4 linked regions of the Anolis sagrei genome follow. The protein of the gene in region 3 binds, or shares a complex with, the protein of the main gene of each other region. Links are inferred from orthologs where the notes say so. Each region holds a gene or a part of one and is shown on either strand. Other genes may lie near its edges.

Region 1 (7,907 bases), on a different chromosome or scaffold from region 3:
ACCACTCATTGCATAGGGAAGCTGATGAGGAAACACAACATACAAATTATATACAGACCCACCAAGAAAATCTAACAAATGCTACATTCAGCAAAGAACAAGAGGGATCCACTTACTTCTGCCGGAGTCTACCATATACCATGCAGCTGTGAACAAGTCTATATAGGGACCTCCAAATGCAGCATTGCCCAAACACAAATCAAGGAACATGAACGGCACTGCAGACTACTTCAGCCAGAGAAGTGAGCCATAGCAGATCACCTGATGAACCAACCTGGACACAGCATATTATTTGAGAATACAGAAATGCTGGACCACTGTAACAACCACCATGTCAGACTACACAGAGAAGCCATTGAAATCCATTATTATTATTATTATTATTATTATTAACTTTATTTGTACCCCGCTAGCATCTCCCGAAGAACTCGATGCGGCTTACAAAGGCCAAGGCCTCAAAACATGGCATAACAATACACAACTCAAAGCAAATCAAAACAATTAAAGCAATATCAAAAACAACAGAACAATAAAACAATACACCAAAATACAATAAAACTGGGGCCGGGCCAAATGTAGTGAAAACTCCAATAACAAGTCCCAGAAGCACTTTATTAGAATTAAGATTGCTGGCACACTGCACTTATCCTATAATCCTTACATATCACCTGTCACTTCAGCACTTTTAATCTGTACCCATTACTCTGGCCCGGCCCAGTTTTATTGTGTCTTGGTGTATTGTTTATTGCTTATTGTTTAATTTTGCTTTAACTGTTTTTAATTTTTTTATTTGCTTTAGGTTGTGTATTGTTATGTTGTGTTTTGAGGCCTTGGCCTTTGTAAGCCGCATCGAGTCCTTCAGGAGATGCTAGCGGGGTACAAATAAAGCTAATAATAATAATAATAATAATAATGGGTACAGATTAAAAGTGCTGATGTGACAGGTGGTATGTCAGATTTTAGAGTAAGTGCAGTGTGCAAGCAATCTTAAAGTCTAATAAAGTGCTACTGGACAATTTCAACAGAAAGGAGGAAACCGTGAAAATGAACAAAATCTGGCTACCACTATTTAAAAAACCCTCTAAAATCATAACAGTAAAACACTCAAACACAGGGAAACTCCAGAGAGGAAACAATCAGGGACAGCTAATCACCTCTCAACAAAGGATTTCCCCAGGCACTAACAAGCCACACCAAAAAACTGTCAGGCCTTCAAATGCTAATCAAGGTGGCCAATTGAAACATTCACACCTAGCTCCAACAGACAACAGTTCTTCCTCCCACCCTGGACATTCCACAGATATATAAACCCAATTTTTCTAGTTCCAACAGACCTCTCAACCTCTGAGGATGCAGGCGAAACGTCAGGAAAGAATGCTTCTAGAATATGGCCATGTTGTTGTTGTTCATTCGTTCAGTCATCTCTGACTCTTCGTGACCTCATGGACCAGCCCACGCCAGAGCTCCCTGTTGGCTGTCACCACCCCCAGCTCCTTCAAGGTCAGTCCAGTCACTTCAAGGATGCCATCCATCCATCTTGCCCTTGGTCAGCCCCTCTTCCTTTTACCTTCCACTTTCCCCAGCATAATTGTCTTCTCTAGGCTTTGCTGTCTCCTCATGATGTGGCCAAAGTACTTCAACTTTGTCTCTAGTATCCTTCCCTCCAATGAGAAGTCAGGCTTTATTTCCTAGAGGATGGACTGGTTGGATCTTCTCGCTGTCCAAAGCACTCTCAGAACTTTCCTCCAACACCACAGCTCAAAAGCATCGATCTTCCTTCGCTCAGCCTTCCCTAAGGTCCAGCTCTCACATCCGTAGGTTACTAAAGGGAATACCATGGCTTTGACTAGGCGGATCTTTGTTGCCAGTCTGATGTCTCTACTCTTTACTATTTTATCGAGACTGGACATTGCTCTCCTCCCAAGAAGTAAGCGTCTTCTGATTTCCTGGCCACAGTCTGCATCTGCAGTCATCTTTGCACCTAGAAATACAAAGTCTGTCACGGCCTCCACATTTTCTCCCTCTATTTTCCAGTTGTCAATCATTCTTGTTGCCATAATCTTGGGTTTTTTTTTTTATGTTGAGCTGCAACCCAGCTTTTGCGCTTTCTTCTTTCACCTTGATTAGAAGGCTCCTCAGTTCCTCCTCGCTTTCGGCCATCAGAGTGGTGTCATCTGCATATCTGAGGTTGTTAATGTTTCTTCCAGCAATTTTCACACCAGCTTTGCATTCATCAAGCCCCGCACATCGCATGATGTGTTCTGCATACAAGTTTAAAAGGTTGGGTGAGAGTATGCAGCCTTGCCGTACGCCTTTCCCAATCTTGAACCAGTCTGTTGTTCCGTGGTCAGTTCTGACTGTTGCTACTTGGTCCTTGTACAGATCTCTCAGGAGAGAGACAAGGTGGCTTGGGATGCCCATACCACCAAGAACTTGCCACAATTTATTATGATCCACACAGTCAAAGGCTTTAGAGTAAATGAAGCCGTAATAGATGTTTTTCTGAAACTCCCTGCCTTTCTCCATTATCCAGCGGATATTGGCAACCTGGTCTCTCGTTCCTCTGCCTTTTCTAAACCCAGCTTGAATATGGCCATGCAGCCCGAAAAACCTACAACAACCCAGTGATTCCAGCCATGAAAGCCTTCAACAATACATTAGCCAGAGAAATGATAGGGCTGGAAGGAGGCTCAGGGGCCATTGAGTCCTGCTCAACTGTAGGTCTTCCAGCTAAAAGCAATTCTAGCAAGTCTTTTCGAGGTTGTCCTTACACACTATGCTGTTGGGTCGTATTTTAACAATGTACTAGTTGTACAGTTAGAGGGGGGAAAACCCTCATATTCAGTTTAGACAGTTTAAACCCTCATATTCAGTTAAGACAGGCATGCAGCCCTACCTTCCTGCTTTTCCCTTTGCTTTACCGCCTTCCTCAGCACAGGCTGCGGCGCACGTTCGTTGCTACGTTCTCTTTCCCCGTCGCGCGAGCTGCGACGACAGAATGAAAGGCCCCCTTCTTGCCTCCGGGTGAGGCTGTCTACTCAGTTGCCGGAATGATTTCCTCCATTTCTTTCTTTAAAGGTGCAGTCCCGATATATATCGGTCTTGGTGGAAAGGCATAATACAACAATAACGTGTTATATTATTGTATTGTTGTATTTATGGCTATCTACCAAGACCGATATATATGGAGGAAAATAGAGGAAATCATTCCGGCAACTGAGTAGACAGCCTCATCCGTAGGCAACAGGGGGCCTTTCATTCCCTCGTCTATAGGAAATACGGAGTTGAGCTATTAGCTCCACGGCTGGAAGGCCCTACCCACCTCGGAGAGTGTCCTGGTTGCTATGGAAACCTCGTTGGCATGGGAACGCGAGGCCTACCCTGGAGAACGAACTCCAGCGCCCTGTGTAGACTGAAAAGCTGCCTTCTCTCGGTTTCGTGCTTTTGGTGTGGATTTTCCAGTGCAAATTTTCCTGAAGTATTAGTTGTACTCGCTAAGCGTTGTGTGGCCAACCCTCCATCCCTTTTTCTCTTCTTTCTTGCTCTCCTTCCCTAATTCTTTCCTTCCTTCCCTTTTCCCCCTTTCCTTCTCTTCTTCCTTTCTTCCCTTCCTCTTTCTCCCCTTTCTTCCTTCTCTACCTATTCTTGGACTGCAACTCCCAGCAGTCCTGATCTATCTATCTATCTCTAATCTATCTATCTGGAGGATTGCTGGAAGTTGCAGTCCAGGAATAGGAAATTGAAAATATTCAGGGAATAGGATGCTCTCAAAGAAATCCAAGGAAATTGCATTTTGAAAGCAGTGCATTTGGATCATCCTCCTCCCCTAAAGAGCCTGGTCTAGGGGATGCTGGGAGCTGTAGTCCGGAAGAGAGTGTGGCTATGCTATTGTGTGTTTTGTTTGCTGGGAGAGACATTTTTGTGCATGCGCTGTAGCATCTTTTGCTTTTTTGGCTTTTTAAGTCTCTTCTGCTTTGTTTGTCAGTGTTTTTATGAGTGATAGTCACTCATTGGCCTGATATGTGTATTGTGTCCAAATTTGGTGTCAGTTCGTCCAGTGGTTTTTGAGTTCTGTTAATCCCACAAACGAACATTACATTTTTATTTATATAGATATGTAAAAGGTAAAGGTTGTCCCCTGACATTAAGTCCAGTCATGTCTGACTCTGGGGTGTGGTGCTCATCTCCATGTCTAAGCCGAAGAGCCAGCGTTGTCCATAGACACCTCCAAGGTCATGTGGCTGGCATGACTGCATGGAGTGTCGTTACCTTCCCACCGGAGCGGTACCTGTTGATCTACTAACATTTGCATGTTTTCGAACTGCTAGGTTGGCAGAAGCTAGAGCTGACAGAGGAAGCTCACGCCGCTTCCGGAATCGAACCTGTGACCTTTTGGTCAACAAGCTCATCAGCTCAGCACTTTAACCCACTGTGCCACCGGGGGCTCATAGATATGTGATCCTTAAAAAATATGTAGTGATCCTTAAAAGAGACCCACAGAAGTTTATGATTTAAAACAGGAGTGGGAACCATTCGGGCTTCCATTATTGGGAGACTGCTTTGTTGCTGGGAGTTGCAGTCTCCCAATAGTGGAGGCCTGAAGTGCCTTATTTAGGCCCCTTCCACACAGCTGTATAAAATCCATATTGAACTGGATTATACAGCAATGTGGACTCAGGTGACCAAGTTCAAAGCAGATATTATGTATTATCTGCCTTGATATTCTGGGTTATATGGCTGTGAGGAAGGCCCTGAGAGCCTACTATATTAATGTCTCTTGATACTGGAAATGTATCTCCATCTTATGGAATGTGTTCTCTCTATTTTTTAATGCTCTCAGTTGTTGTTTTTACTATCAGGAGCAACTTGAGAAACTGCAAGTCATTTCTTGTATGAGACAATTGGCCGTCAGCAAGGACATTGCCCAGGGGACGCCCAGATGTTTGATGTTTTACCATCCTTGTGGGAGGCTTCTCTCCTCTCCCCGCATGGGGAGCTGGAGCTGACAGAGGGAGTTCAACCCACTCTCCCCAGTTTCTAACTGCTGACCTGTTGGTCAGCAGTCCTGCTGGCACAAGTGTTTAACCCATTGTACCACTGGGGACTCCATTTAATGCTCACAGTGCTGATGCTTTTGTAGCTAAAATTGTACAACTGGTGCAGAAGAGAGAATTGCATAGCCCAAACAAAATAATTATTGGGCTCCTTCCGCACAGCTATATAAGATCCCACATAATCTGCTTTGAATTGGGTTATATGGCAGTGTGAACACTGATAATCCACTTCAAAGCAGATAGTGTGGATTATCTGCCTTGATATTCTGGGTTATATGATTGTGTGGAAGGACCCTTAGTGTCTTGTTTTTTAGGCTTGTTTCTGTTGTTCTTTGGGGTGATTACTCAGAAAATTGCACTGTCTAGCATCAGCTCTAGTTTCTTAGATGTAGTTATGATTTTTTATGGGAGAGCAGATGAAGACTGCTACATGACAAAGGTAGAGCTGATAGGGGAAAACTGGTGACATTTTGGGAATCAACAAGTCCAGTATACCCAAAAACAAATGTAACATTTAAAGCACCAGAATGTGTGTTGGACAGTGTTATCAGCAGCCTCAATGAACTCTGAGATTTATAAAGGTGTGTGTGTCCACACACACACACAAATCATGATCTATAAATCAACAGGGGCTGGGAGTGATTGGTATGTTTCAAATGCAGTCTTATTCTTGGGCTAGAATCAAAAACTGTACCCAAGGAAGATGATGTTGTGAAGAAGGTCATACCTGATTGACTTTAAATGCCGAACAAAAGTGTTCCTTGCACATTTGTAATAGATTCCATTTGTACCCATCTGAATTTGGCGAGGAGATGCTCTCTTACAGTTAAAATAATTGGTATGCAGCCAGGTTTTGCTGCTTGAATTGAGAAGAAAAAAAGAGTTAGGAGTTGTGAGCTGGCTTAATGTGAAGCACCACGCGTCAGGGTGCAAGCAACTCCTGCCAAGATCTGGATTTGCCAATATGCTGAATCAATTTGGCCCTAAGGGGGGCCTGCTAATATAGCTGTAAAATTGACTAGTTATTCAAAAGATGCTGTAAATCTGTTCTTTCTCCCTTAAAAAGCTGGCTTCTGTAGGGCTCCTTCAGCCCATTGACTGTGGTTACTTTGGGAAGTGGAAAATGCATAACAGTATGCTCAGATGGTAACTAATATCATCTGGTTTCTGTATGTGTGTTTGTGCATATATTCGCTTATGATTTATTTGGACTGATCTTTCTTCCTCTTGTTTAATATCTTTGTATCCTCCAGTTAAAGTTGTTCAGCCCCAATTTTTGGCATAAGAGTTGTTGTTTTAATTAAATATTATACTAGTTTACCTGTGCTGCTCCTAGGTCTTAAGAATGGAAGGCATGATAGATTTCCGTACTTTGGAAAAAGAGTTGGAACAAGCGATTGCCAGTGATGAGAAGTACAAGAGAGAAAACGATGCCAAATTTCGAGCAGTGCGCCAGAAAGTAGCATCCTATGAAGAATTCAGGTTTCTTGAGTCTTATTAATTCCTTTCTTGATGAGAAAGAGGGGGTAGATAAAACAAAATACTTATCTTTAGAGCAGCTGCTTGTGATTTTATCTCAATCCATATACAGCTGTTAAGTTAATACAGTTTAGCATCTGATGTATATGGCATACTAACCAGCAGTTCCCAAATTAAAACAGACTTGCACCAAGAACAACTGGCATGACTTTCCCCCACAGTGAAATCTGTTCTATAGACATTAATAGGTATGTTGTTAATAGTAATTATACAGTAAATAGAACATGAAATGTTCGTGCACACCCATTACTGTTTTGCAAAGTGGTAATAAAGTGCTGCTTCTTCCACTTCCAAGTTTTATTGTTTGGATATCTGAGAGAAAGGAGGCATCCTATAAAAGGATTAAATGGAGCAGCATTTTTTACGGGCAGCTACAAATGCAGGTAGTTAGAGTATGTAAATTTTGCCATATGCAGGCTACCACATTAAATTGTGGCACATTGAAGGTATTCACTTTACCATATGACTTAGTTGTTTTAGTTGTTTGTAGGCATCTGAAGTTTCTTTGTCCTTTGGACAAGCTGAACAGGTACTTGGCACTTGAATGAATACAATACTAGGTAAAATTGTTGTGCCTTTAATAATTTTATTAAAGAAAAAATTTCAAAAAGTAGACGCTTTCTTAACTCCACAACTTTGTATTTAATCAGACTACTGTTGAACTTTTAATAATGCACACTTTTTTGTTTCCTGTAGGGATATTGTTCGAGCATCACACTTAAAGCCTTTAGACAAAGGGGACAAAATGAGGAGCAAAAGAAGCATGTTATGGAATTCCTGTGCATTTAAATCAAACTGCAAAGAAGAAAGTGGAATAGAATTGTCTCAGGTGAAGTAGCTGTTCTTGAAGTTTTTTTAAATCTGTGGTCTCTTCCGAGCCAGATTCCTCTTAAAAATCACAGTAATTCTTGGTTTTAACAGATTTTCTTTTAATGTAGAGACTGGAAGTATGTTGCTGCATATACCTTTTTATATAATTTTTGATATTGACATTTCTTCCTCTTAATGAGGAACTATGAAGCAAGCATATACCAATAACAAATTGCTTCAATGTTCAGAGTGTAAATCCTGTGTCAATGATGAATCCTCTTCCCCATCTTTGAGAATGTCTTTTTAAAATTATGTTAATTTTGTCCCTTATATCCTACCTAATATCCTACCTTTTGCCCATTATTTATTCTACAAGATTAAAAAAAATAAAATTGCATGGAAACTATCTGCATATTTTGAACATCATAGGACTTTGCTTAATACATGCAGAAATAGGCATTTAATAACATGTAGTATTTCCAATATTAGTGCTAAATGCAGAAT
Region 2 (6,975 bases), on a different chromosome or scaffold from region 3:
ACCCAGCATATTCATGTATTCTGTATCTGCTCTGGGACAGAGTGAAGAGAGAGGGGGCCAGGGGACAGTTCCATCTTGTCTCTTGCATATGTCATCAGTTGGGGACCCCTCCCCCCAGCACCAACTGCTGCTCTGAGCCAGAGTGAAAAGAGGGAGGGCCAGGGGACAGTTCCATCTTGTCTCCTGTGCTATGCTAATAATCTATATAAATAAAAATGTAATGTTCGTTTGTGGGATTAACTTAACTCAAAAACCACTGGACAAACTGACACCAAATTTGGACACAATGCACCTATCAGGCCAACAAGTGACAATCACTCATAAAAACACTGAAAAACACAGAAGGGACTTAAAAAGCCAAAAAACAAAAAATACACTACAGCGCATGCGCAAAACCACATATTTACACATATACACATACAGACACACACAAAACACATATACACAGGCTGGGCCACAGCAACGCCTGGCAGGGGACAGCTAGTATCTTATAAATAAAAATGTAATGTTTGTTTGTGGGATTAACATAACCCAAAAATCACTGGATGAATTGACACAAAATTTGGACACTATACCCCTAACAGACTAACAAGTGATCATCACTCATAACCCCCACCCCCAAATGTCTTCTCTGTGTAGTCTGACACAGCCCAGCATTTCTGTGTTCTCAAATAATATGCTGTGTCCAGGTTGATTCATCAGGGGCTCTGCTATGGCTGATTTCTCCGCTTGAAGTAGTCTGCAGTGCCTTTCATGTTCCTTGATTTGTGTTTGGGCAATGCTGCGCTTGGTGGTCCCTATGTAGACTTGTCCACAGCTGCATGTTATACGGTAGACTCCTGCAATAGTGAGAGGATCCCTCTTGTCCTTTGCTGAACGTAGCATTTGTTGGATTTTCTTGGTGGGTCTGTAGATGGTTTGTATATTGTGTTTCCACCATGCAGCATATTATTTGAGAACACAGAAATGTGGACAATTTCAACAGATATATAAACCCATTTTCCTACTTCCAACAGACCTCACTACCTCTGAGGATGCTTGCCATAGATGCAGGCGAAACGTCAGGAGAAAATGCTTCTATTATTATTATTACTATTATTATTAAACTTTATTTGTACCCCGCTAGCATCTCCCGAAGGATTCGATGCAGCTTACACAGGCCGAGGCCTCAACACACAACACAACAATACAATCTAAGCAAATCAAACAATTAAAAACAGAATAAAGCAAAATAAACAACAGGCACAATACACTAAACACAATAAAACATGGCCGGGGCAGAGAATGGGTACAAGATTAAAAGTGCTGATGTGACAGGAGGTGTATATAGGGCTTCTAGGGCAAGTGCGATGTGCAGCAATCATTGGTTCTGATAAAGTGCTTATGGGACTTGGTAGTGGAGATTTCCTAATCTGGGAAGGCGCATCGGAAAAGCCAGGTCTTCAAGTTCTTTCTGAAGACAGCCAATGTAGAACATGGCCATATAACCCGGAAAAACCTACAACAACCCAGTGATTCCAGCCATGAAAGCTTCTCTGGCTGAAGTAGTCTGCAGTGCCTTTCATGTTCCTTGATTCGTGTTTGGGCAATGCTGCGTTTGGTGGTCCCTATGTAGACTTGTCCACAGCTGCATGGTATACGGTAGACTCCTGCAGAGGTGAGAGGAGCCCTCTTGTCCTTTGCTGAACGTAGCATTTGTTGGATTTTCTTGGTGGGTCAGAAATGCTGGACCGCTCTCACAACCACCATGTCAGACTACACCAGCGTTTCTCAACCTGGGGGTCGGGACCCCTGGGGGGATCACGAGGGGGTATCAGAGTGGTCACCAAAGACCATCAGAAAACACAGTATTTTCTGTTGGTCATGGGGGTTCTCTGTGCCAAGTTTGGTTCAACTCCATCATTGATGAAGTTCAGAATGCTCTTTGATTGTAGGTGAACTATAAATCCCAGCAACTACAACTCCCAAATGACAAAAATAAATCCCCTCCCAACCCCAAGAGTATTCAAATTTGGGTGAATTGGGTATTTGTGCCAAATTTGATCCAGTGAATGAAAATGTATCCTGCATATCAGATATTTACATTATGATGCATAACAGTAGTAAAATTATAGTTAGCAACTAAAGCAATTTTATGGTTGGGGGGGGGGTCACCACAACATGAGGAACTATATTCGGGGGTCACGGCATTAGGAAGGTTGAGAAATACTGGACTACACAGAGAAGCCATTGAAATCCACAAGCATGTGGACAATTTCAACAGAAAGGAGGAAACCATGAATTTGAACAAAATCTGGCTACCAGTATTAAAAAACTCAAAAAATTGCAACAGTACAACAACAGAGAGGAAGCAGGCAGGGACATCTAATTACCTCTCAACAAAAGTTTACCGCAGGCACAGTCAGGCCATTGTATGCTAAACAAGGTGGTCAGTTGAAACATTCACACCTAGCTCCAACAGACAAGAGTTCTTTGTCCCGCCCTAGTCTTTCTACATATATATAAAGCCATTTTCCTACTTCCAACAGACCTCACTACCTCTGAGGATGCTTGCCATAGATGCAGGCGAAACGTCAGGAGAGAATGCCTCTGGAACATGGCCATATAGCAAGAAAAAACCTACAACAACCCAATGTATTCCCAATTCGCTTCTGACACACGGGCGAGCCGCTGAACTTCATTAGCAAGGGATAGTCATAGGTGTCTTCGCCAATGCCTGATTTAAAACACAGGCCCCAGCGTTGTTGTTTAAAGCAGGGCCCAAATTCTCCCTCCCTCAAGGAACGGAGACCCACAGAAGTCGGCGAAGGCTCCCCCATTTCCCGGGGACCCCCTCCTTCCCGGTTCTGGGCTCCTCACCGGATTCCCTGTCACTGGCGGGCCTCTTGCGCTGAGCCCTCCCCTGCGCGGGGCGACGCTTCTTGAAGAGGAAGCTGCAAACAGGCTTCTCGTCCGCCATCTTGGTTGTGAGTCCAAGCGGAAGGGGAAAAGGCCCGGACCGCTTTGGGGCGCTCTAGCCCTTGGCGTCTCTAAAGTCAGGCGTTCTATAGATGACACGACTGTGCATTGGAGAGTCACGCGCAGTTAAGAGCTTCCGAGGTCGCTCTGCTCTGCAAAGGGGAGAAAAGGGGAGGACTTTTAGTATTACTCTCTTTTTTGCTCATCTATAAAATATATTATGCATTAAATATGTGTGTATGTGTATGCATATAGAAAATATATGTTTTTATTTTAAAAATTATATATATATATATATATATATATATATATATTCTATATGCAAAGCGGAGGACCTTTTGTATAACTCTCATTTTTGCTCATCTATAAAATATATTATGCATTAAATATGTGTGTATGTGTATGCATATGCATATAGAAAATATATTATATATTTTTATTTTAAAAATTATATATATATATATAATATATTATATATTTTATTTTAATATATATTTTTCATTAATATATATATATATATTATATTCTATATTATATTCTATATTCTATATTCTATATATATAATATATATAATATATTTTTATTTTAATATATATATATATATAAAATATATATTTTATTAATATCATATATATATATATATATATTCTATATGCAAAGGGGAGAAAAAGGGAGGACTTTTAGTATAACTTTTTTTTGCTCATCTATAAAATATATTATGCATTAAATATGTGTGTATGTGTATGCATATGCATATAGAAAATATATTATATATTTTTATTTTAAAAATTACATATATATATATTATATTTTATTAATATATATAATATATATATGTATTATATTTTCTATATGCAAAGGGGACAAAAGGGGAGGACTTTTAGTATTACTCTCTTTTTTGCGCATCTATAAAATATATTATTCATTAAATATGTGTGTATGTGTATGTATATGCATATAGAAAATATATTATATATTTTTATTTTAAAATTATATATATATATTAAAATATTATATATATATATATATATATATGCAAAGAGGAGAAAAGGGGAGGACTTTTAGTATAACTCTTTTTTGCGCATCTATAAAATATATTATGCATTAAATATGTGTGTGTATTTGCATATGCATATAGAAAATACATTATATATTTTTATTTTAAAATTATATATATATATATATAGAAAATATTATATATATATATATATACACATATATATATGCAAAGAGGAGAAAAGGGGAGGACTTTTAGTATTACTCTCTTTTTTGCGCATCTATAAAATATATTATTCATTAAATATGTGTGTATGTGTATGTATATGCATATAGAAAATATATTATATGTTTTTATTTTAAAATTTTATATGCAAAGAGGAGAAAAGGGGAGGACTTTTAGTATAACTCTTTTTTGCGCATTGTGGATGTACCCTGAACCTCACACACTAACACACATAAATAGATGAATGCATGGAAGTTCCACTCTCACATCTCACTCTTATGTAAAGGCTGATCTAGCTGGGGTGGTCCATGCCTTGGTCACCTCTAGATTAGACTACTGTAATGCGCTCTACGTGGGGCTGCCCTTGAAAACGGCTCGGAAATTTCAACTGGTCCAATGGGCGGCGGACAGGTTGTTAACTGGTGCTCATTACAGGGAGAGGTCAACCCTCCTGTTTAAGGAGCTCCATTGGCTGCCGTTAATTTTCCGGTCCCAATTCAAGGTGCAGGTGCTCACCTACAAAGCCCTAAATGGTTTGGGGCCCACCTATCTGCATGACCACATCTCCGTATATGAACCCACACGATCCCTCCGTTCATCTGGAGAGGCCCGCTCACGATTCCACCTGTGTTGCAAGTGCGTTTGGTGGGAACGAGGGACAGGGCCTTCTCTGTGGTAGCCCCCCGACTGTGGAACTCTCTCCCCAAGGACATCAGACAAGCCCCTAAGTTGGCAGTCTTTAGGAAGAGCTTGAAGACCTGGCTGTTCCAGTGTGCCTTTCCAGAATAGGACACTCCCAGCATCATGTCCCAAACGCACTTTACTAGAGATTTAAGATTGTCTGCACATCGCACCTACCCTAAAATCCTTACATTTCACCTGTCATGTCCAGCACTTTTAATTTTATTTATTACATTTGGCCTGGCCCTAGTTTTAAATGTGTCATGATGATGTATTGTTTTAATGTTTTACTGTTATTGCTTTAATGTTTATTGGTTTGCTTTATGAGTTTTCTTGTTGTATTTGTTATACTGTTGTTTTATTGAGGGCCTTGGCCTTTGTAAGCCACACCGAGTCCTTCGGGAGATGTTAGCGGGGTACAAATAAAGTTAATAATAATAATAATAATAATTTAAGGGTCGGTCAACGTGAATCTCCATCATTGGTGAAAAAGCAGCTTCTTTTAGGAGTTTTGCCATTGGAAGGAAAGCTTTGATGGGCTTTGCATTCTTTTCTCTCTGTCTTGCAAAGGACGTTGTAGCCTTTTCTACATTTGGGTGACCTTCACAGATAACATTCCACTTGTGAGATTATGTAATAGGTTGGTTGTGACTGAGAACAGCATGAAGCATAAGAAAGAGAAGCTGGAAATCGCCAGATTATGAAAAGGGGAGATGGACCTGATGTTCAAGTCAAAGCCATTTGTGGCAGTCGAAAATCAACATTGCTCCACCAAGACCATATTGCAACAGTGCTTCAAGCATATCTGTTTTCTTGCCAAACTGAATACTCTCCGTTAATTGGAAACCAACCAGAGCTTTCAAGCAACTGGCAACAATTTTTTTTATTACTAAAATTGCATTCTGCATTCACAAATCTCTTATAATACAGGCAGTCCCCAAGTTTTGAACAGGTTCTGTAGGTTTGATCTCCAAGGCCCTTTCTACACAGCTGTATAAAATCCAGATTCTCTGCTTTGAACTGGATTATCTGGCAGTGTAGACTCAGATAATCCAATTCAAAGCAGATAACGTGGATTATCTGCTTTGATATTCTGGATTATATGGCAGTGTAGAAGGCCCCAAGGCAGCCTTTATACAAACAACATTCAGACTGAATATACACTGCCATATAATTCAGATTATCAAAGCAAATATTCCTCATCTGCTTTGGACAGGATTATGTAAATTCACACTGCCATATAATCCAGTTCAAAGCAGATAATTTGGATTTTATATGGCAGTGTAGATGAAGCCCTAGTAGTCCTTATGTTCTAGGCCCATGAAAATGTGAGATAAGGGGCCCTTCCACACTGCCATATATTCCAGTTCAAAGTAGAAAATGTGGGATTTTATTCAGTTGTGTGGAGGTTTAGGGCATTTATAGAAATACCCTTGTGAAACAGTAGAAACCAAACATACAAGGGTTGAATTAAAAGTAATGCCTCCACCTTCGTATCTCCTCAACAGATGGCAGTACTGGCTTGTAGACTGTAGACTGTCCTCTACAGTTCCATTTTGGCGGGAAGCTTTAGCATTGAACAGTTGTGTTGTTAAAGTGCAAAGTATGGAACCCTGCGCAGACGGTCGGTCAACGCAACTTAAGCAACGTGCAGTCACTGAATTCTTGACAGCAGAAGGTGTCACCCCAAAGGAGATTCATCAGAGAATGCAAGCTGTTTATGGTGATTGTGTTGATGTGAGTACTGTGTGTCATTAGGTGAGTAAATTTAAAGATGTTGAGGTGGGAACATCTGTCTTGCGTGACAAACAAAGAGTTGGATGTGCTGTGACAGCAACCACCGAGTTTCACAAGCAAAAGGTTGACAGATTGATTCAGGACGATTGTTGTATCACCCAGAGAGAAATTTCAAGCATAACCAGCATTTCACAAGAATGTGTGGGTCACATTATTGCTTTGCTTGGCTATTGGAAAATCTGTGCACAATGGGTACCCAGGATGTTGACGCCTGAAATAAAAGCGTACAGACTTGAAACTTCAGAGACTGGATCTCACCACCATATGACATCCTCCATGCAGTCCAGATTTAGCACCGTCTAACTTCCATATGCTCC
Region 3 (7,177 bases):
CCCTGAGCGAGGGCCGGTTAAATGACCTTGGAGGGCCGTATTCGGCCCCCGGGCCTTAGTTTGAGGACCCATGATCTAGAATTTTGTATTATTATTTAAACAATGGTTGCAAAGTTTAAATGTTTAATTTGATAAAAAGGTTTTAGCAAAGTAAAAAGCATCCCAATCAGTACATGCTTTAAAATGTTATCTGTTTTCAATATACTAAACTATTAAAAGCTACAGCCAACATGTATAATCTTAAGAAACACCATGCCCTTTCACTTTCATCAAGCAGAAAATGCCTCTTTCTGGAAATAACAATTGTTTTGGTAAATGAAAACCTCATTAATATATTTAATTCTTCAAAGACAGGTTTTTAGACATGTGCAAATGTATACAGACTTAACTAAATGGAATAAATTTCTTAATATCAGGAAGAACACTATGTTTTTATGAGTTAATAGTGCAGACTTACAGATCAACCTGTCAAATCCTGCTGATGCCAAAGTTGCTCCGTTAGGATGAAACTTACAACAGTAAACCTCTCCTTCATGCCCTGAAAGCAGCATTATGGGTGCCTGGAGAGAGGAACATCTTGGAGGGCCCTAAAGTAGGAAAGTGTAACACATTCAAGTCTCTATGGCAACAAGAAGATAGACATCTATTAAATTAAAAGAATAGTATAGGCACTTCACTTCTAATATCCGGTAACTTCTTATCTTAGAGGAAAAGTTAAGCATTATAACCAGTCTAAATCTTTTAATTACATGAATTATCTCAACAGGAGACCCAAGATAAGCACTGGCTGCCCTCTTTCTCCACTCTTTGGAAGGACTTTATAGGTCCCGTTGCCTTAATAAAGCTCAGAGCATTCTTGGGGATCCATCTTACCCAGCATATTATTCTACAGAATTATTACCATCTAGCAGACGGTACAGGGTGACAAAGACAAGTTCAAACAGACTGAGAGGTTTTATCCTATAGCTCTGGCTATGTTGAACCCCACAGCTTCGCATTGATATGGCATTGAGGGCTGCGCCATAGCTATTAGAATGTGGAGAGATGGGTGTTTTGTGTTGTGTGTCGGAGAAGACATTTAATTTCATTGTGCAGTAGTACAATAAATAATAATAATAATAATAATAATAATAATAATAAACTTTATTAATATAATATAATAAAACCTCGCCACCATCTCCCTGATGGGGACTCGGGACGGCTTACATGAGGCCAAGCCCAAACAACAAATTACAGCAAAATAAAACAAAAACAATAAACAACATCATAATTACATAAAACATATGAATGCATAACGATATAAAATTACAGTAAACACAATCACAGTGACAATGGGCAGGCTACATGTAATGATTAAAAGAAAAAGAAAAGAAAAACTAATTAAAAACTGATTAAAATAAAGCTATTCTATTCTATTTGATGTATTAGTGTATATACCCAGTGTTGCTCAAGCGTCATTGGGACCACTGTCTGTTTACTTTATCCCTTCTCTGGTTCTGAGAAGGCCTTTCTTACGTTGTGAATCCAGCAAAGACTGAGATCCTATGGCTGGGTAAACCAGGCAGTGGGGATATCCAGCTGCCTACCCTGGATGGCGAGGCGCTATGCCCATCATCATTGGTAAAGAGTCTGGGAGTCCTTTTGGACCCTCTGCTGACGATGGAGGCCCAGGTCTCAGCTGTTAGCAGAACTGCCTTTTTTCATCTGCGGCAGGCTAGACGGCTGGCCCCCTACCTGTCCAGGGGCAACCTAGCTACGGTGATCCAGGCCACGGTCATCTCAAGACTGGACTACTGTAATGCCCTCTACATTGGCCTTCCTCTGTCGGTGATCCGGAAGCTCAAGTTGGTACAAAATGCAGCTGCTCGGCTTCTTGCGGGAATTCCGATGAGATGTCACATAACCCCAATCTTACTGCAGCTGCATTGGTTACCCATTGAGCACCGGATCACTTTCAAAGTGATGGTACTCACCTTTAAGGCCTTGCATGGTCTGGGGCCGATGTACCTGAGGGACCGCCTCACCCCCTTCCAACCCCAGAGATCCCTCCGTTCTGAGGACCAAGATCTATTGGAAATTCCCAGTGTCAAGACCTTGCGTCTAACAGCAACCAGGCGCAGAGCCTTCACAGCAGTGGCACCATCACTCTGGAACACTCTGCCACCTGAAGTCCGTGCCTTGCGGGACTTCCCAGCTTTCCGCAGGGCATGTAAGACATACCTGTTTCGATAGGCTTTTAATGTTTGATATTGCTGTTTTTAATTTGTTTTAAATTGCTTTTAAATTGTGTTAGATTTTAGCCATTCTTGTAAGCCGCTCCGAGCCCCAGGGGAGTGGCGGCATATAAGTTTAAATAATAAATAAATAATCCGTCAATCCAAAAAAGAAAAGACTAAATCAGTAGAGTAAGGTTACCTCAATCATGTCATGCATAGACAGTCCAGTAGCTGGGAAAGAAATAAAAGTTAGAGCCATGGAGGCATTACTTTTTGACCCACCCGGGTATATGCCATCTATGGGCCAACATGGGCCTTCCCTCCAGGTGTTTTGGACTCCAACTCCCACCATTCCTAGCAGTTTCAGGTCCTTTCCTTTTCCCCCTCGGCCGCTTAAGCGGAAAAGGAAAGGGAAAAGGAAGGGGCCTACGGCTGTGAGGAACGGTGGGAGTTGCAGTCCAAAACACTGAATGGAGGCAGAGACGGCCCAAGTTGGCCCAGGCCTGGTAAAAGACACTGCCTGCCGACTTCCTCTGCCGTAGAGTCTAACCCGGGAGGCGAGGCCCGAGGCCTGCGGCCTGCCAGTGCACTCACCGCGGGCAGCAGGGCGCCCGGGGGCCCCGAAGGAGGGCCAGCCCCGGCGGCGTCTTGGCGGGGCTTCTTCGCCGCCGCCACCACCAAGGCCAAGTCCGTAGGCGCCTTCCGTTTCTGCGGGTCCAGCATAGCCGCGGAGAGACAGAACAGGCCTCACACCCTACCCGAAAGAGGACTGCGCTCCCTCCTTTCTCATTGGTCGCCTCATACCCAATCGGCAGCTTCTCGGAATATAGAGCACCCCGATTGGACGGGGCTGAGCCCACCCCTTATGTACGCCGTATGCCGATTGGTTGGGAGGAAGAAAGCGCCTCTGTTGGGGTTTCCGGAAAGGCGGACGTGCTGAGTGGCGGAGGACAGCGTCCACAGGCGTCAAACGGCTCTGAAGTAAGTAATCCCCTGGCAGGGAGGGGGCCTTCTCGTTGTTTTTGACTGTCGTCAAGTCATCTTTGCCTTACGAAGAAGTTGGGTTGGAAGAGAACCCATGGCGAATCCAGTCCAACCCCCTCATGCCTTCATGCAAGAAAATCACCACCAAAGCTCCCCCGACAGATGGCCACCCAGCCTCAGTATTAATTAATTAATCTATATAAATAAAAACCACTGGACGAATTGACACCAAATTTGGACACAAGACACCTAACAACCCAATGTATGTCCTTCACTCAAAAAAATTGATTTTGTCATTTGGGAGTTGTAGTTGCTGGGATTTATAGCTCACCTACAATCAAAGAGCATTGTGAACCCCACCAACGAGGGAATTGAACCAAACTTGGCACACAGTTCTCCCATGACCAACAGAAAATACTAGAAGAGTTTCGTGGGCAGTGTCCTTTGGTTTTGGAGTTGTAGTTCATCTACATCCAGAGATCACTGTGGACTCAAACAATGATGGGTCTGGACCAAACTCTACATGAATACTCAATATGCCCAAGTGTGAACACTGGTAGAGTTTGGGGAAAATAGAATCTTGACATTTGGGAGTTGTAGTTGCTGGGACTTATAGTTCACCTACAATCAATGGGCATTCTGAATCCCATTTTCTGTACCCCCCCCCCCAATCCCATTTCCCAAATTTTGGCAAACCTGATTTTAAAAAGCCCTTGACTGGGGAAATACAGGGAAACCTAAAACATAGTCCATTTGTGTTGTTGAAGGCTTTCGTGGCCTGAATCACTGGGTTGCTTGAGTTTTTAGGGCTGTATGGTCATGTTCCAGTAGCATTATTTCCTGACGTTTCACCTGCATCTGTAGACCTATGAAGACGCCAGCCACAGATGCAGGCGAAACGTCAGGAAGGAATGCAACTGGAACATCTACTTCATCACACTAGTGAATCCACTTTAAATCTGGTTTCTGCCTCCTGCAGAATTATGAGGCTTGTAATTTAGTGAAGCTGTTCAAGGCTCTTCTTTAAGCTACAAACCCCAGAATTCTTCAAGAGGTAGCAACCAGATTTAAAGTGGATTCATTCTCTAGTGTGATGAGCTCGATGGTCATATAGCCCAAAAAACTCATAGGAACCAAGTCAATTTGCCCCCTTGATCTCTAGGGCAGTGTTTATCAAACTGTGCTCCTCCAGGTGTTTCAGACTCCCAGAAATTGCAGCCAGCTGTTATAAATTGTGGGAGCTGAAGTCCAAAACATCTGGAGGAGCAGTTTGAGAAACTCTGCTCTAGGGAACATAGCAAGGCCTATTTAACTTTTTAAATACCCAGATTTGGGACACATGCTGGGAAAATGCAATCCTTGGAAGTTCCCATGCCAAGGTAATTCCTCACCTCTCCAGTTGTTCATTTCTAGTATACTGTTGACCCTCCACATTCACATTCTTTTTTTGTAGGTTTCATTATTGGTGACTTTGTAGGTGTAGCTTAACTAGCTTGATCTCTTTGCCTACTTCTTTCAACCTGGCACTATGAGAAGTGGGATTGAATATCTGGTTGATGCAGTATTATTGTACCAAAGTTAGAAAGAGAGTGACAGGTTCACACTGTTGGCAAGAGAGGAGACTCAGGGAGGAGCGGAGTGAGGAAGTGAATCAGCTGCCAGCTGCTTAAATTGGTTTCTGTGTCCTAGGAAGGAGGAGGGGTTTTGAAAATCTGACTGGGGCATCATGGTGCCAAGGTAGGAACAGGAAATATGGACCAGGGATGTTGGTGGGAAAGGAGTCTGTAACACACATGATTTTGTGGGGAGTGGGAAAGACTTCAAAAATTCAAGTTTTTGCTTTCACTGGAATATTGCAGCCCTAAACCATGTGCATGCGGAAGGTGGGCTTTAGTGTTAGTAATTTGAAAAATACTGCTAAAACATTCTTGTGCTGGACGGGGTTGCACTCCCCTTGAAGTCACAGGTCCGCAGTTTGGGAGTCCTCCTGGATTCATCACTTACACTTGAGGCTCAGGCGTTGGAGGTGTCCGGGTGGGTCTTTGTGCAATTGAGACTTGTGCGCCAGCTGCGACCATACCTCGCAAAGGCTGATCTGCCCGGGGTGGTCCATGCCTTGGTCACCTCTAGACTGGACTACTGTAATGTGCTCTACGTAGGGCTGCCCTAGAAAACTGCTCGGAAATTCCAACTAGTCCAACGGGCAGCGGCCAGGATGTTAACTGGGGCTCCTTACAGAGAGAGGTCAACCCTCCTGTTTAAGGAGCTCCATTGGCTGCCGTTTATTTTCCGAGTCCAATTCAAGGTGCAGGTGCTTACCTACAAAGCCCTAAACGGCTTGGGACCTGCCTACCTGCGTGACCGCATCTCCGTTTACGAACCCACGCGCTCCCTTCGTTCATCTGGAGAGGCCCTGCTCGCGATCCCACCTGCATCGCAGGCGCGGTTGGTGGGGACGAGGGACAGGGCCTTTTCTGTGGTGGCCCCCTGACTTTGGAACACCCTCCCTAAAGACATTAGACAGGCCCCCACACTGGCAGTCTTTAGGAAGAATTTGAAGACCTGGCTGTTCCGATGTGCCTTTCCAGAATAGGAAACTCCAGTAAGCACGTTATTAGAGTCCCAGAAGCACTTTACCAGAACTTTAAGATTCTCTGCACACTGCACTTTGCATCGAGTCCTTCGGGAGATGCTAGTGGGGTACAAATAAAGTTTAATAATAATAATAATAATAATTCAGGATGTTGCCTAAATTGTGTAGATAATACCAGTTGCAGTATATTTCATGTCTGTTTTTGTCTCATTCTAAGGAATAACATAAAGCATACAGAAGAAAGGGTAACCAGAAGATTTATGTGATCTCCCAGTAAGCTGCACTAGTTAAGACAATGGAAGTATTTCCAGAACTGTATGACATATTCCAGGGAGAGGTAAGTGTTGTAACTTTGACGTTTTAGAGTGAAACAAGAAGAAACATTATGGAAAACATTGTAACAACTTTAAGAACTGTTGTTGTGTTCTGTAATTTCTAGCATTACAACAGTGAAGTTCTGTAATATATGCTTAGATGTACAGAATGTACCGAATTACTCACTGATTCAGTATCCATGATACCTTTTTCTGGATGTGTTTCTGGGCCTTTCCCAATCCTCCAGTGCAATTCTGCAAAATGCTTTTGGTCCAGGTCAAGTCAAAACAATAGGGTCACTGTTATCTACAGGTTCAGGTATTCACTGCGGGTCTTGCAACATAGCACCCACATTATACTGTGATTGTTTCTGATTAAAATTGCCAGGAAGTGTGTACAAAAATGCAGCATGACAATACAATCCTATGCATATCTGTTCAGAAGTAGGGTCCACTGCATTCATTTGTATGTGCACCCAAGCAATCATGTATAGACAGAGGTCCTCCTGGTCAGTCGCAAGGCCAAACAGGGTATAGGGTCGCAACCTGTGCTGGATGGGGTTACACTCCCCTTGAAGGCACAGGTTCGCAGCTTGGGAATTCTCCTGGATTCATCACTGAGCCTGGAATCCTAGGTTGCAGCGGTGGCCAGGGAGCTTTCACACAATTAAAACTTATGCGCCAGCTGTGCCCATACCTTGGGAAGTCAGATTTGGCCACAGTGGTCCATGCTCTCATTACATCCAGGATAGACTACTGCAACGCACTCTACGTGGGGTTGTATTTGAAGACTGCTTAGAAGCTTCAAATAGTCCAACGAAAGGCAGCCACGTTAATAACTGGGGCGGCATAGTGGGAGCATACAACTCGCATGTTATGCCAGCTCCACTGGCTGCCAGTTTGCTACCGGGCACAATTCAAAGTACTGGCTTTGGTCTATAAAGCCGTAAACGGCCCCGGCCCAAATTACCTGTCCGAACGCATCTCCCTCTATGAACTATCGCGGAGATTAAGATCCTCCGAGGAGGCCCTGCTTTCCATCCCGCCATTGTCACAGGCACGATTGGTGG
Region 4 (6,183 bases), on a different chromosome or scaffold from region 3:
TTTTAAAATAATGTTGTAATTGTGATTTTATTGTTACTGTTTGCTTGGTATCTAATGGTTGTGAGCTGCCCTAAGCCCCCCCCCCCCCCCCCGGGTGGTGGTGAGGACAGGATATAAATGTTTAAAATCTGAAATAAATAAATAACTACGTTTAACACTACAGATTTATTTCTTGGTTCAGCAGAGACGGCCCTAGGTAATTTTCAACGGTAAGCAAACAGTATTCCCCCCCACCACCACCACTCACTGATATATATTTTCTGTTCATCATGGGAGTTCTGTGTGCCATATTTGGTTCAATTCCATCATTGGTGGAGTTCAGTATGCTCTTTGATTGTAGGTGAACTATACATCCCAGTAACTACAACTCCCATATGTCAAGGTCTATTTTCCCCCAAGAGTGCCCCTGGGCAAAATCAACTATACTGCAAATGCTTACTTTGCGTAATGGGTTGAGCCGCCCCTGGTTCAGGTGTACTATATGAATTAACCACCCAGATAAGTGGATTAGAAAACATCTTGCATGGCATTTATTAAGTTATGAAAACAGTTGCATTTGACTTTACAGAACTTCGTTTCAGTTCATGAATTAACCATCTAGACAATGAGGCGAGAAAACACCTTATGCATTTAACTCCACAGAATTATTTTTGGCGTCACGTTCGCTATATGAATTAAGCTAGAAAACAACCCGGGTGTATCAAGTTGCTAAAATGCAACACATTTTTAATCTGTTCGCCGCACAAATTAAGAATCCAAACAAGCGAGTGAGAAAACACCATGCGTGGCATTTAGTAGCGGTTAAAACGCTTCGGAGTTAAGAGGGATGGGAAAGGTGTCCTGGCGACTCCGGAAAGCAAGCGACGCCTGTGTCCGAAATCAGGAGGCGAAGGGAAACGGCCGGCCTCGAGTTTCTCCGGGTGCCAAGGAGGCGGTTTTTCAGAGTCCAGGTGGCGCCTGCCGTGAAGAGTCCAGTCCCGCCAGGACGATCGGGGCCGAGACGAGGCCTCCCTTCAGCCGCTTCGCTTCGCTCCCTCCCTCTGGCGCTCCTGCTGCGGCCTCAGGACTCGTCGGGCTTGTCGGCGGGGGGTCCGCAGGGCTGCAGCATCTTCTCCATGAGGTTGAAGCGGACGCGGGCCTTGCTCTCGTCCTCGGCGATGGCGAAGTAGTTGAGCAGGTCGAAGTGGCCCATGTAGGAGCAGTAGGAGTCCCGGTGCTGGTTCACCAGCCACTCCCACTTGGTCGTGTCCGCGTGGCCCGTCCCGATGTACTTGGACTGCAGGTGCTCCAGCTGGCTGTGGATGGTGTAGCGGTCCGTCATGGCGGCAACAACGGCAACGGCTTCACAAACACCGGCAAACTCTCCGCGGCCTTCAAGCTGCCCGCCAAGCGCCTCTCAGGAAGAAAAAAAAATGAAGGCCAAAGCAAACGAACAAACTTTGCGTGGCCAAGGGCGCTTCCGCTTCCGGATTAAGAAACACATACGCTCTCTCCCGTCTTTCTGTTTCCGCTTTGTTGGAAGGCGGGACTTATAACCCTAGCAGCCAATAGTATTTCTTGTCCTCTGCTTCCCTCCAACGAATGAGAGAAGGGGTTTCATTTCTTATTTCCCGGGGGACGCAAGGGCGGGAACTCGAAAGGGAGGCTTCTTGAGAGGAGGTTGGACGGGATGGCCCACGAGGTCTCCTCCAACTCTATGATTCTATGAGACTGGAGGCTGTAGTTGGAGGCCAAAATGGGCGCATTTAAAGGCATTGTTGGACACCAATCTCTTTAGAACATGGTTCTCTCAAAGCTTGATGCGGTTTGGTCTCGCTGTCACCGCCCCGGCTCAGTGCTGTGGAGCCCTGGGAGATGTAGTTTGGTGAAGCAGAAGCCGTTTGGAAGAGAGAAGCCTAAAGACCGTGTAAAAACTCATTTAATTGAGGCATGGCCGTTAAAGTGGTGCCAAACTGCGTTAATTTTACAGTATAGATGCACACTCAAGTTACTTGGAAAGACCGATAAAAACGAATGTGTGCCTCCACAAACTCAATCCAGGATTGGCTTCGAACAGGACAGGGCCTCTCTCTGAGGCTACTAAACTTTGATTACAACCTATGTATGAAGCACAGCAATGAAAAGTAACATTTGAGGAAACAGAGTTGGCTGAGAAGGCCAGTGCTCCCAGCTTTGTCCTCTTCGGAACTACAAGAGGCGCTTTGTCTTAGGTGCCTTCTCATAAAAAAACAACAACATGGCAATTCTGGGCATTGCAATTTAAGGGAGATGTCAACCTGAAATGTGTTATTATGATATTGCTTTCTGTTTTTTGTTACTGTATTGTAATGCATTCCTGGGCTTGGCCTCATGTAAGCCGCCCTGAGTCCCCTTTGGGGAGATGGTGGCGGGGTATAAATAAAGTTATTATTATTATTATTATTATTATTGAGGAGCGGCTTGAAGAGCTGGGCATGTTTAGCCTGCAGAAGAGAAGGCTGAGAGGAAACATGATGGCCATTTATAAATATGTGCGGGGAAGTCATAGGGAGGAGGGAGCAAGCTTGTTTTCTGCTGCCTCGGAGACTAGGATGCAGAACAATGGCTTCAAATTACAAGAAAGGGGATCCCACCCGAACATGAGGAAGAATTTCCTTAACTGTGAGAGCTATTCAGCAGTGGAACTCTCAGCCCTGGAGTGTGGTGGAGGCTCCTTCTTTGGAGGCTTTTAAACAAAGGTGGGATGGCCATCTGTCAGGAGTGCTTTGAAGGTGATTCTCCAGCTTCTTGGCCGCGATTGGACTGGATGGCCCACAAAAACTCTTTCAACTCACTGATTCTAGGATTCTGCACACATGCAAGCCGCCCTGGTCCTCCCCATAGAGAGCTATGTTGAAATCTTCCTTCATCTGAAATTATGGATTAAGTGTTTTTCCAATAGGCCTGAGTCCTCCTAGACCCTGTGCTAGTACAAATTACATTGTCTTTGAGCCATCTACAGACCATTCAATGCAGTTCCAAATGGGTATTGAAGAAAGTGGTTTTGCTCTGTAGATGATTGATTACATGGGAAATCAGTTTGAGGCTCTTATGGTGATGACATAAACCACAGAGAGAGAGCACTGATGTGCACTAAAAGCTTTCTTTCACATGCTTTTGTAGGAGTTTGCTGTCTGTAGTTTGAAGCCACCTTTGAACTGCATTAAAAGGTCTTTGTCAATGGAGCCTCTGTTATAATTCAGAATGGAAACACAGGAGTAACAATGCTGCAAACAAGAATCCAGAAATAGCTGGCTGCAAAAGGGTAATGAGGAAAAGGTGTGATTCTAAGCCAGGCTTGCAAACAATAACAATTGAAATTCCCAATATCTTAAAGTGACTTTAAAAGGATTGCGGGACAAGTTGGCTTCTGCAGTTAATCTCATCAGCCACTGGGTGTCAAGAGTTATCTGTTCTGAGTGAGAAGACAACATACATATTCTCGATGGGTGCTGTATGGTATGAGAAACCCAGAGAATTCCTAAACAGTTCATAAAGTGAGGCTTGTGGCTTTAATACTTTAGAATTTAGAAGACTTCCGTGTTAGTCTTTTCTAGAGTGAATGACTGTATAATTTGATGGACTACAGACAACACATCATGGTATGATCATAGTCCAAGAAATGTTCCCATGTCTGTGGGTCACTAAACCTTCTTTGCTCTGTGTATTTTAATATATGTATTTTAATGTATCATATTTATCTCTATGTTTTAATTATGTTGTACATTGCCTTAGAGCCATGAGAAGAGGAAGGTAACAAATAATTGTTGTTATTGCTGTTGTTGCTGTTATTAACATTAAGCCAATCAGAGTGCTTGAATCGAACACTCCCAAACAATTCCCCACTAAACCAGTGCATTCCTGTGTTTTGTTGGCTGGGAATTTACTGAAAGATATTATTAAACATTTGTTGACATTTGCTTTTAGAACTGGCTTTTTTAAAAAGAGCTTTTAGTTCATTTCCAGGAATTTTACCAATAATAAAGCAACTGAAATAAATAAAATGCTCTTCAATAGTGGACTGCCTCAATAATCAATGGACTCTTTTTCACCAGGCGTTTTTATCCTATGGCTGAATGGCCACCTTCAGGTATGCTTCAACTGTGGGATCTTCCATTGACAGAGAATTGGACTAGATGACCTTCAATACTATTCCGTCACTAACAGTTCTACGATTCTATATGCGTATTATCAGTTGGCAAGGGTTTTGTGATCATCACTTTTAGGATATTTGTTATACTGTTAAAGGAGACAGGTATATGTACTCAGTTTTTCATACATTCTCATGAATCCAGTGTTCTAGGTTGCTGCTTGGTGAAATGCCTTATTTGTATTGAATCACTGCTGGGATTTTTGCTATGAAAGCCAGGGGTTTGGCAGAGAGCCTTGCTCCCAAGAATACCTATTCCTGGTGGCCCCAAATGCTGTTCTTACCAAAGCCAAGGTCTGGACCACAGCCACATGGACTTTTCCATGATCTTCTTTCCTGCAAAAAGTCACAAGTCTCTTAATACCACATCTGCCCTCAGGAAGAACATCACACTTCTTGAAAAGTTATGTTTACTTAGCGCTATGTTCTGTTCTCTTAAGGTTGCTCTTTTAATGTGTCTAGAGAAGTTTGTTCTAACTTTTCATTAGTTTGTGGTTAGAATCTCAGACACTGAAGACCAACCCCTGGTGTCTGGAACAATTGAATCCAAGCTCCCAGTTTTGGTCTTCCCTGTCCCTCCTTACAACTCCTTTCAAATCAGCTGCCTCTTTGTACACGTTGAGGAGCCTGTGTCCAAACAGCTTGGAATCAGACTTATTTAGGATTTCTTTTTTAAAAATTGGAATACCTGTATTTCCATATACAGTCGTAATAAAATATATTGAGGATGGTACTCAAGTTTAAATACGAAATGTCTTTGTATTTAATATACAACGTGGACATATAAAGGTAATTTAAAGCAATGTTTTAAATGTGTGTATGAAGTAAAGTCTGGGTCCTTCGGACCCTTTGAAAGCAAAAGTATCTCTATCTCAGCCATCTTTTGAATTTCCTGGTGGTTCTAGAGGCCCAATTTCCCTAGTTTCAATATTTGGATTCCAGCTTTCATCTGCCCCACCATATCCAAAAGGGAAGGCTGGAGTTATGATGCAGCAACTCCTGGAGGACCATGCTTTCTCTCCACTAGTTGTGGACAACAGATATGAAGAAAGAGATTATGGAGAAAAAAAGCTGGAAATTATCATATGACCTATCTTTAATTTTCAGTGAGTCACTTTGTGTTGTAAGCTTCACATTATCACGTGATAATCTCAATTATTAATACTGTAACATGACATTAATGTCATAATGGAAAGCTCAATGTTGCTAAACCAAACTCAGCTGAACGTGACTTCAAGAGGGACTGGTCTAGTCAATGCACGTAGTGTGTCATGTATATATTCTCAGTGGCACAGCTGCCTATCATCATTAAAACTCTACTAGAACATTCTTTCTAAGAATTTGCTGATAACAATGGAGTCATACAATCCTTATCTTGACAGAAGTCTAATATCTTTACTCTGCACAAGGCAAAATCCAACTGTAAACATAAAGTATGTCGCCAGATAAGACCTCTGAGAAAGTTAATAAAAGATTTACATACAAAGCTAGGAATATCCCTTTAATACTGTCTCTAATGTGAGGAACCAGAACAGCTTAGCTGGGACATTCTCCTTTCAACAGCAGGTTGAGATTACCACTTTAAACAAAAAAAAAATCATAATTCTCTCTTTGAATAGTTAGGACATTACACGGTTAAGATTAACTAATAGCAAAAAAATGTAGTGCACTCATATGAACCAATTAAGACTAGAAAATGCCTTTCTAAAAAAAAACCCTCTTACATGATGAAATGTAGGTTGAAAAAATGTGCCTTTAAATCCATCACAAAGCAACTTTTAAAATTCATATGACAGGAACAGAACAATCAATTGAACGAAAAAGCAATCAGTTACAGGACACATATGGAGAGTTCCACTCTGTCCTGCCAGTGACCTCTGATGCAGGGAAGGAAGGATTGTGAAAGGGATCCTCGTTCTGATTGTTGCACCAGAGATGCTGTGCCCTGATCAACAGGAGACAGCCCTCTGTTGCTTGTATTGACTGTTGCCTGATAAATCCAGATATCGGGGGGG

The links.
Region 1: SNRNP40 (region 3) and EFTUD2 share a complex: the UniProt entries of both Homo sapiens proteins name them as parts of the minor spliceosome. The link is inferred for Anolis sagrei from reciprocal best matches to the Homo sapiens genes SNRNP40 and EFTUD2.
Region 2: SNRNP40 (region 3) and E3 ubiquitin-protein ligase RNF113A share a complex: the UniProt entries of both Homo sapiens proteins name them as parts of the pre-catalytic and catalytic spliceosome complex. The link is inferred for Anolis sagrei from reciprocal best matches to the Homo sapiens genes SNRNP40 and RNF113A.
Region 4: SNRNP40 (region 3) and SF3B5 share a complex: the UniProt entries of both Homo sapiens proteins name them as parts of the minor spliceosome. The link is inferred for Anolis sagrei from reciprocal best matches to the Homo sapiens genes SNRNP40 and SF3B5.

Annotation. Positions count from the first base shown.
Region 1 is NC_090026.1:47,532,232-47,540,138, reverse strand, and holds the start of EFTUD2 (116 kDa U5 small nuclear ribonucleoprotein component), read right to left. Parts: upstream 3,006-7,907; 5' UTR 2,897-3,005; intron 1-2,896. Other genes in the region: CCDC103 (coiled-coil domain-containing protein 103), read left to right, coding at 3,362-3,478, 6,391-6,536, 7,290-7,422. UniProt on the Homo sapiens protein: Required for pre-mRNA splicing as component of the spliceosome, including pre-catalytic, catalytic and post-catalytic spliceosomal complexes. Component of the U5 snRNP and the U4/U6-U5 tri-snRNP complex, a building block of the spliceosome.
Region 2 is NC_090026.1:52,101,288-52,108,262, reverse strand, and holds the start of E3 ubiquitin-protein ligase RNF113A, read right to left. Parts: upstream 3,003-6,975; 5' UTR 2,960-3,002; coding exon 2,860-2,959; intron 1-2,859. UniProt on the Homo sapiens protein: Required for pre-mRNA splicing as component of the spliceosome. As a component of the minor spliceosome, involved in the splicing of U12-type introns in pre-mRNAs. E3 ubiquitin-protein ligase that catalyzes the transfer of ubiquitin onto target proteins.
Region 3 is NC_090034.1:63,886,182-63,893,358, reverse strand, and holds the start of SNRNP40 (U5 small nuclear ribonucleoprotein 40 kDa protein), read right to left. Parts: upstream 3,018-7,177; 5' UTR 2,940-3,017; coding exon 2,811-2,939; intron 588-2,810; coding exon 458-587; intron 1-457. Other genes in the region: ZCCHC17 (zinc finger CCHC domain-containing protein 17), read left to right, coding at 6,089-6,130. UniProt on the Homo sapiens protein: Required for pre-mRNA splicing as component of the activated spliceosome. Component of the U5 small nuclear ribonucleoprotein (snRNP) complex and the U4/U6-U5 tri-snRNP complex, building blocks of the spliceosome.
Region 4 is NC_090021.1:76,161,777-76,167,959, reverse strand, and holds SF3B5 (splicing factor 3B subunit 5), read right to left. Parts: upstream 1,479-6,183; 5' UTR 1,322-1,478; coding exon 1,061-1,321; 3' UTR 504-1,060; downstream 1-503. UniProt on the Homo sapiens protein: Component of the 17S U2 SnRNP complex of the spliceosome, a large ribonucleoprotein complex that removes introns from transcribed pre-mRNAs.